Drosophila melanogaster: one gene and its partner. The protein of the gene in region 2 purifies or fractionates together with the protein of the main gene of each other region. This does not show direct contact. Each region holds a gene or a part of one and is shown on either strand. Other genes may lie near its edges. The genes, in order: app and Dlish.

What was found.
Region 1: the proteins of Dlish (region 2) and app purify together in Drosophila melanogaster (affinity purification with western blotting; one study listed by BioGRID). This does not show direct contact.

What each region holds. Positions count from the first base shown.
Region 1 is NT_037436.4:12,263,839-12,268,945, forward strand, and holds the start of app (approximated), read right to left. Parts: upstream 3,004-5,107; 5' UTR 2,817-3,003; intron 1,909-2,816; exon of another isoform or gene 1,754-1,908; intron 1,073-1,753; 5' UTR 783-1,072; intron 1-782. Other genes in the region: CG32100 (uncharacterized protein), read left to right, coding at 3,792-3,812, 3,920-5,107. UniProt on the Drosophila melanogaster protein: Palmitoylates Dlish which is required for the apical cell cortex localization, total cellular level and full activity of dachs.
Region 2 is NT_033778.4:17,721,400-17,725,783, reverse strand, and holds Dlish (dachs ligand with SH3s), read right to left. Parts: upstream 2,476-4,384; 5' UTR 2,345-2,475; coding exon 2,299-2,344; intron 2,013-2,298; coding exon 1,889-2,012; intron 1,829-1,888; coding exon 931-1,828; 3' UTR 728-930; downstream 1-727. Other genes in the region: Snx16 (sorting nexin 16), read left to right, coding at 1-85, 146-282, 342-402; CG10934 (uncharacterized protein), read right to left, coding at 2,782-3,366. UniProt on the Drosophila melanogaster protein: Required for the apical cell cortex localization, total cellular level and full activity of dachs.

The DNA of each region.
Region 1 (5,107 bases), on a different chromosome or scaffold from region 2:
ATTGCAATTTTCGCAACAGAAATCGAATGATAAATAAAAAAAAATTAAGAGTTAAATGCTTGCTGAGCTCATTATTTGCGAAATGGAATTTATTAACGACTTTTATTTGCTCGAGCATTAACAAATAAATACTGTGGATACATCATTTATTAATTTACATAATTAATGCCTTACTTATAAGTACATAGAACTCTCCCTTGAACCTAAAAAATAATGTTCAATGTCTAGAAAAGTTAAGTAAGTTATCTGACATGGCAATCTTGATTCGATAAGAAGTGAAACATATATAAAAACTGAGTATTAATAAAGTTCGAGATTGATAGCAACATTGATAGTAAATCAGCATTCACGATGTTTAGGCAAGTTTTCAAAATTTTCATGAAGAAAGCTGATGTGAAAATGTTGAAGTCCTATAAAAATTAGCCTATTGATATTACCAGGCAAATAATTGCGTAGTTCATTTGATGTATTTGCTTTAGTTAGTATGTAGAAAATGTTTAGCGTCTCCATTCAAGTTGCTTTGTGTGTGTACTTAGCCCACTTGTATTGAACTTACTCATCGCACAATGTCGACAATATCGCAAGTATTTCACACAATTTCACACGATTCGCAGACAGATAGTGGTATAGTGGTAAATATACAAATATAGAGGGAGTTACGAGTAACTCTCAATGGGGCAGCAAATACAAGTGGGAGGCATTTCGAAATACTCCAAAATAAGTGGGGCCAGGGTCAGGGGTGTAGTATGTAATATATATATATATATCTGAATAAAACTCACCTCGCTGCAGATTGTGTACTTAATTTAGGCGATGAGTTGCCAGCAGCAGAAACAGAAACATTGACCTCGGAACACTTTTCGACATTCGCCTTCGATGATGATTAAGTACTCGAATGCTTTTCGATTACACGCGTTAATTTCACGAAAATATAGTTTAATGGACTTCTTTTTACAGATTTTCGGTTAAAATAGTTGTGGATTATACAGTTTTTAAAATAATATACAGTAGATATTGGTTTGTCTTCATTTGGTTGTCGAGTTTACTTTGTAGTTAAGGTGTTATAACTGTGCTGTTTTCAATGTTGGAATATTTAATATTTTCAATGCTAGTTTTATATTTAATTAATAAGTCAATTTTGCGGATATTTGCTGTACATTAAAATATACATATTTCATATTTATATATTACATGTTTACTTGCGCATTTTATTGCTTTCCCTAAACAGGTAAAAATTCCAGGAAAATAAACAATTTTTGGTGGCTCAGTTGTGGATGTTTATAGACTTGATTTCAATAATCGCATATTTACACTTCTGAATTTTCGTTTCTGATAAATATTTACGCGATATCTTGAAATCGCCGAAAGTGTAACAACATTTCGACGACCTACAAATCCGGGTGAAATAAAAATGATTCAATTTAGTGGGTTAGTCGCAGCGACTAAATGAAAAGCACCCCGCGATTGAGGTGTAAAATGAGGTAATTTCGAATTTAAAAACCCGGAGACCAGGTAAAAAAAAGTAAAAAAAAAAAAAAAACAAAACAAAACAGGTTTTTAGCGATGATAACAAGATGGAACTAAAAAAAAGGGGAGAGAAAAGGGAAAAACCGGAAAGCTAGACGCGATAAAAAAAATGCTAGTCAAGAAAGCGAAAAGCAGCAACTAACTGTATTCCTATAGAGCATATTTTTAAGGAAATCAACCCAAGCACATGTGGTTTTAAAGGCGACAAACAAACAAACATACGTACACAACCACATGCATCATCTGTTTGTAAAATATTCAATGGAATCCAGTCACGACCCGCCGACGCAAAGACAATTTGCAAAGACAGTCTCGCAATCGCAAAGGCAGAACGACGGCAAATGCAGCGGAAACACAATCGAAAGAGCAATAAAAACTATGCCGACACAAAACCAATTAAATATAGTTGCAGTTAATTAATTATAAACCGTTTGGCGAAACGAAAATAAAACACTGGTGGGCATTATTGATATTTTTAAATTTTTTGGCGTCACTGACACAATTCGCGCTCTCTCGCTCTCTTTTATTTGCCTTTTCTTTTGTTGCTTTGCATGTGTGTTGTGTTTCCCTTGATTTTTTTTTATTGTTTTGTCTTGTTTGTTGCTTCTTTTTATGCTTCTCTCTCTTTGGCAGGAAGAACGAGAAACAAACTCAAAATTCTCTGAATATTTCTTTCATTCGGATTTTTTGTGCTGAGCTGCTGAGCAAAGAAAAAACAACAACAACAAACGCCAACGCGCCTTCTCACACAAGCACAATCAGACTCGCACACACATGCACAGTTCAAATTAGTTGGGGCAACAACAATAAGCGATGACTATTGTTATTTAAACACGGCTGCTTTTTTCTCTCTGCTCATCGCTGCAAAAGCCACGCGACAATTGTTATGTTTCAACTGCATTTGGGGAAATAATACTTTAAGAACGGTACATAAAAAAACATTTAAATCAGCACAGTTTCGCGAAGCAAAGGCAATTACAAAACCAAACACTTGAGGGCGCCGCGACGTGTGGAAAAGAGACGGCAGAGCCAAAGACAAAGACAGCTGAGAAATACGTGGAAGCGGTGATTTTCGATTTGTTTTGCTTTTGCTTTTGAACGTCAATTCTTCAATCTATATTTTTACACACAACAATATTTTAAAAACGTTTATATTAATAGTTGTTTTTGAACACATTTAGCGCCAAAATCTCTTCATATTTTCCCGGCGATTTATCGGATTTACCGATGTATTTTCAACACAAGTGCGAATCTTTTATTTTTTTTATAGGATAACCAAAATAATTTACCAATGTTTTTCGTCTTTAAATATTTGAACTTTTAGGGAAACAGCGTGCGCATTCAGCGCTCTCCCGAATTTAATTGAAATGCGCGCCTCCGGTGCGAAAATTGGAGTGAACCCGACGCAAAGTTGAAATGAAAACAAACTGACGACGGTGTGTCCGAATTTCGGGTGTGTTAAAACACTTCTGCAATGCTAACAGAGCTCTGTAATGTGGATTGTTCTACTGTTGCCATACGGTCACACACTTTTAAGCCGCTCAAGTGCTTGTGACACCACTACATTTGATATATAAATTAATATGCTTCTAAAGAGCTTAATTAATCATAAACTAGTTCATCTCTGGAATTTTGTGCTTATTGTTTGCCCTAACAATTCAGACTTTTGAAATCTTAAAACCCAATTCCTTCCATTGTACTGGACTCCACAATGTAGTGTCGTAGCGGTATAAGTATGATCTCTCTGTTAAGCGCAGCAACAAGGTGGCAGCGCTTGCACTTCCGCTAACGTTAAAAGTTTGAACAACCCGGCAAAATATTTTAAATAATTTAAATAAATAAATAATAATTAAATAATTTAATAAATAAAACACAAAGCCTTTCATCAATTTTAAAGAGCTGCCTATATTATTTTGCTAGATTTTGCTTGTGCTTTTGTAGTAAAACAGAAAGATCGTTAATGAGGAATATGAAAGTGTTTTTACTAAATACAACTTTACCAGAATCTTTGGCATAAAGCCAAAATAATACTTAATATGAAATATGTTCTTATCAAACTTGCAAATTCAATTTTCCCGCCAAATGTAAAGTGTGACCAGTTACAAGTACCAGTCCTTGTGAGCCTCTGGTTTTTTATTAGCTAAAAGCGGCGGGCACTCCGCAACTCAGCTGATCGATCAAACAAAAAATATTGATACACAGGAATTTATGAAAAAAAATGCGCAGCGTTTAGAAAGGAGAAAGTATTTAGTAGCACGCACGAAATGGACAAGAATCTGGATGAGGTTTGTGTTTGTACTCTCCTTTTTTTATATTCAGCCCCCTAAAACCGAATGGACTGTGTGTTTTGACTGCTGTTTACTGATACACGCCCCAATTTTTCATCGCCCAGGTCAAAGACACCGTACAAAAGAAGTTCAATGAAATCCGTGCTGCGTTGCATATGCGCGAGAAGTTGCTGCTCCGGCAACTGGAGGTCATAGCGAACACGCGACAGCAGCAGCAGCTGCTGAAGAAGTCGCCCACCGAAATGGAGAACTCGAACTCGGTTGGCAAGAAAGATCAAAGTGGTGTGCGTTTCATTCCCGGGGAAAGCGAGGATGCGGAGGAGAAACTACTGACAGCCATCCGAAGCTACGGACACTTTCTGCTGGACAACAGTGATATGCAGTTGGCGCTGCAGGATTACCGCACCACGGGTTTGAGGAACGAGGACTACATAGAGCCACTAGATGACCACGAGACCATGTACAAGTGCCTGCAGGATGGGCAAGTATCGTATCTCGATCTGGACGAAGACGGTGCCCCACCAGAGGCCATTGTGGTCGACTTCTCTCGCAACAGAAGTCTCGTCGAAGATAATGCCAAGCGCTCCATTATCAACATTACACTGCAGGAGGCAAAGGATCTGATAAAAAAGGCCAAGATCAAGAGGGATACATATGTGCCGCCCTTAAACTTGGAGGAGCTGGATGACGAGTTGGAATCTTCGATTGCCGAAGCCGTTTCCAGCTTGGGGCGAGAAACCTCTGCCAAATCAAAGAGCAGCGTACAAGAACCACCGAAATGCAAGGGTCGCAAACAGCGCTTCAAGCCAAAAATCACAATCAACAATTGCAATGGCACGATCAATCTGCGCAACATAGCCAGCCTGACCATCAACTGCGCCAGCGAAGAGGCGGTGAGTGCAGAGATGCCCCTGGCCAAGTCCGCCGATTCCAGTACCACCGAACCCTCGAACTCCACGCCCACCACCACCGCCTCCAGTTCCAATTACTCCAGTAATGCCAGCTCCCGTTCGCAGTCCAAAAAGCAAAAGGCGAACAAAAAGCTGGACAAGATAGAGCGTGAACCCAGCTCGGATTCCACTCCTACGCCTGGACAGGCCCAGCGGTACGAGGAGACCGAGATTCACGATGTCACCTGCGATTTTTACAATCGCCTACTCAACGAGATCAAGAAGAGCATGGTAGAGAAGCCACGCAGGACATACAACCAGTTGGCAGAGCCCGTTCAAACATCGGCTGCCGATTCCAGTTGCGATGCCAACTGCAATCCAAAGCAGTCGGCTGCCAAACAG
Region 2 (4,384 bases):
GGAGCTGCGAAAGTGCAAACTGGTTCGGGAGTTCTTCTGCCTGGACGAGCCGCCTTCGTACTCTGAATCCATGGAGGAGTGTCGTGTAGGATGATTTCTTTTTCATGTATTTATCAAATCTATATAAGATTTCATTTACTTCTAGGCAATTTTCGAAGCTCAGGAGGAGACAATTGAGCATCTGAAGCTGCAGATTCGAAATAAAAACGATCTCATTCTCAGTTTGCAGCAGAAACTGCGCGAGGAGATGAACGAGAAGGAGCAGCTGAGAGAAGCTATGAAGTAGGATAACAATTTCTTTTACAAATGCAAAAATCTCATTAGCCAATCTCTCTCTACAGAAATATGGAGCTTAATTGCTCGCACTGCTCCTCAGCTAGCGACAGTTTGGGAATAAAGTAGACCTTCGCCAATCGGAGGTGATAACCAAAATCCAGTTGGACGTGCGTGTGCGTACAACATTATGCTGAGCATAACTCTACGCAACTGCGCCGCTTGGATGCAAATCCAATACAATAATACAAACCAAGTGCATATCGAGGGGTTGGCCCCTACAGTGCTTTAGTATTCATATCTAGACCTAGATGCTAGCAAAGTGCTGCCCACGCTGGTACTATATGGAATACGATAGTAGATATTTTTGATATTCGTTTACGAGGCACTTACAGTTAAGAATGAAATCACTAGACTAAGTGTATACGATATGTTATGCAAACTCACATACAAAATAAATCTAAGGCACAATTTATTACTCAATGAAAATGGCATTTATGAGTTGAAAATTAATTTAGTGTTCAAGATAAAAATATCCAAGCCACAAAGAAACGCTTTTCGAAATGCAATTCGACTGTGTTTGGAAGACTTACGAATATTACGCTTTAGTGTTAGTCGAAGTGATAATTAAAACGATTATGGTATTGAATCTATTTCTTAAAGGCTGGTCATCGCGGGTGGTCGGGCATAGGCTTTCGGGATGAATCCATATTTGCGGGTTTTCGGAGCATAAGCCCAAAGCCAGCCATCAACAGTCTGATTGGTTAAGTCTGCGTAAATCCAATCTCCTCTCCGCACAGAAAGGTACAGATCGTCTGGAGCTTGCGCTTTGTAATCATACAGCATCACCAGCTCCGTGCCATGGTAGCGTAGATCATCTGTTCCCAAGCCCAATTGAGGCTGCTGCTGTTGCTGGCTCTGCTGACCTTGTTGACCCTGCTGCAAAATGGTCTCCATGGCATTTAAAGTGGCTTTCTGTTGCTGCAAAACTCGTACACTGTCTGCAGGATAAATAAAGCTGGCTGGCACAAATCCTTCCTGGCCATCACTGCGCATTATCCAAAACCAATCGGGATCCTCGCGATTTAGCACGGTAACAAATTCACCCCGTTCCACAGACAAATCATTCTCGTCCCTGGCTATAAAGGTGTACAAGACGATACAGCGCCCGGAGGGTTCCTTCACGAAAGGAGTACACTCTGGCTCCACCAGCAGGGTGTTCTCTATGCTGTTGGCGGAGCCAGGATTCAAGGTTTCATCGCAAAGAACATCCAGCTTGTTATCCGTGCCCAAAAGTGGTATATTCTCTTCGATCGGCTGCTCTGGACACTGTTCCCTTGGCAGTTTCTTCTTAACAGCCAAATCCGCCAGTTGCGTGTTGCAGGGAGCACAATAAGAGAAGGGTATGAAACCCTCCTGCCTAGAGTCCTGACCAATCACGTAGACCCAATCGTTCTCTCTGTACAAGATATTAACCAGCTGTCCACGCTTCACCTCTAGTTCATCATCCACGCAAGGAGTAAAGTCGTGCAGCACAACCATCTTGGAATCAGGACTAAAATAGAATTAATATTGTACAGACTATTTAAACTGATAATGGATGGGATCGACTTACCTTAGACCGTGTTCCTTTTCAATGCCCACTCTTACAAGTGTTTCAATGCTGGAGGAACCAGTTATGCGGCCCATGCCCAATACACCCACAGCTGGTAAGTCCCTCTCAATGCTGGCATTTGTAGCTGAAAAGGGAGTATTTTGAAAATGCTTATTTAGGTACAATATATGTCGTATTTAATTAAATTTAAAATAAAATGTATATCTTATGCATTCAATCATAATATAGTTTCAAGAAAAAAAACTTGAATACAAATATTTAATTCAAAAAGAATTCTTGTACATTGATATACAAAATAAATGCACCAATAAACAGATTTAAACAATTTCAATTTTTTTAAGTTCCTACAACAAGTTCGTGATTGAAGTCTTTTGTTTCCGTGCTGCTTCTTCCGCTTTCTATGAACACACCTTTCTTCTTGTCGCGCCTCATGCGCACGGGGCAAAGAAATGCCATCTCTTCCCCCCACTCGGAATTAAACCCCCTTCAACCGAAAAACAACAAAATTTCGGCTAATTGCTTAATTTCTTTATTGTTTAGATCCGACACAACGCTCTTCTTCTTCTCAATATTCTCTGGTGTTAGAGGTGGAATTCATACGATTGGCTGATCTTGATGATGTTGTCCGTTAATCGATTGTCGCGAGGCGCCAAAATTTGAAAATAAGTTGGTTTTGTGTGTACGTGTTGGCTCTGCTCTTTCAAGCATGCAAATTTCTAGTAAAGCGTAAACTGCTCTTGAGCAGCACCTTCGATTTGGGTGCAATGCACCCGGGCCGCCGTTTACCTTGATAATTTATTACGCGTGTTTTGTGGGCTAATTCAATGATCGAAAGCATAGAAAAACTGTGTTTAGATTGGGCGATTTGATTGATCCAGTTTCTGCGACAGCTTCTATTTTTTGCGACCACGCACGGTGCTCTTCTTGGGTGTTGATCGCTGGTTGCTCTTTCGGGTAGGACGCCGCGGACCATCGCCTAAGTTCTCATCTGTCTCATAGTATCTGTACGTCCGGCGATTTGGTAGGGCGTAGTCCAGGGCATGAGTGACCATTATCGCCTTGTAGGTGCACGCCACGGACATGATAAGCTGCCCCAAATAGTAGACATCTTGGCGCAAAAACATAAAGACTTTTGGATAGGCTTCAAAAAGGTACATGCCGGTACGAGTATTAACTGCATTGTCCCGCAGTTTATTCATATGGCTGAGCAACTGGAGCCACACAAGCACCACGACCTGGGTGCACATATAGAAGACCAACAGTTCCAGCAGCAAAAGCCAAAGCTTCTGCAGCGGTGCGCAATTCATTACCCTCAGATGATGGAGAAAAAGCACGGCGGTCAGGACGAACAGCGCCGACGGAAGATCGGGAATATGCTCCATGGGCAGCACATTGCATCCGGCGATGTATAGACACACGCATCCCACGCTGCCAGCCACCAGCTCCGTGACTTCGTACATTCCCTGTACAACCACCATTTTAGTCGTATACAAAATGTGAACGAATGATAGATTTGAGTTAGCTCCAGGCGCTATGAATTGTGTTTGGAAGGTGTTACTTTACTAGATAGTAATGGCTGTATATCCAAAGTCTACTGAGCTCTATTTAAAACTTTATATTGTATTATAGTGATGTAACTAAAAGTCCAAATATATGTGAATTTTGTAATGTAATAGAACATAATAGGTTAGAGATATCTGGATTTTTTAAGCAATACTTTTAGTAGTATAAACATAATATATACATTTAATTCAGAGTGCATTTAAAACCCTCTGCCCCACTGAGACCTCGTCATTCTTAGCGAGCGTCACTTGCGCTATTGGACAGCATTGAAAAAAGAGGGGCCAATGCACTATTTTGGTGCCAAGGATAAAACTTTCGCATGCAATTTTCGATTATAATTCAGCGAGAGAATTTCGATGGAAAGGGCAAGGAAACAAAGAGTCTCAGCAAGAGAGGATGGGTCCAAAGAGAGAAAGTGTCCAAACTGACCTACACTTCGTCGTATCCCCATGTGCACATACCCCAAACTAAATTGCGCATTAAGCATCTCGAACATTATCCCACCAGCAGCAGTGGCGTGGCAGCATCAGCAGCAGGTGCCACACCCCCAAAAGACCCCCTTCAACTTGACTTTTGACTACTACGCAGTTGATTCCACATCCGCATCACATCATCCATCCCACAGCCCACATCGCACATCCCAGAAACCCATCCCCATGCCCTATCCCAAGTTTTATTAGAGAGAGCTGTCTGCGTTGGGCTTTAATCGATAGAGAGGATTCTGCGCAGTCCTCCACTCCTCGGATGCCATTCACAAAAAGGGGCGGCCAGTGGGCGGGGCAGGAGGTGGTTGGGTGGGCGAATCGAGTGGGTGCTCCTCGCCCAGCACACTCATCATGGCTGTTGTGTCTGCGGGTAATTGTTGCTCGGACCTCTGATGGCCAAAAAATGAGACTAGACAGCGGGCCAAATTAAGAGGAATGAGGCGGAAAA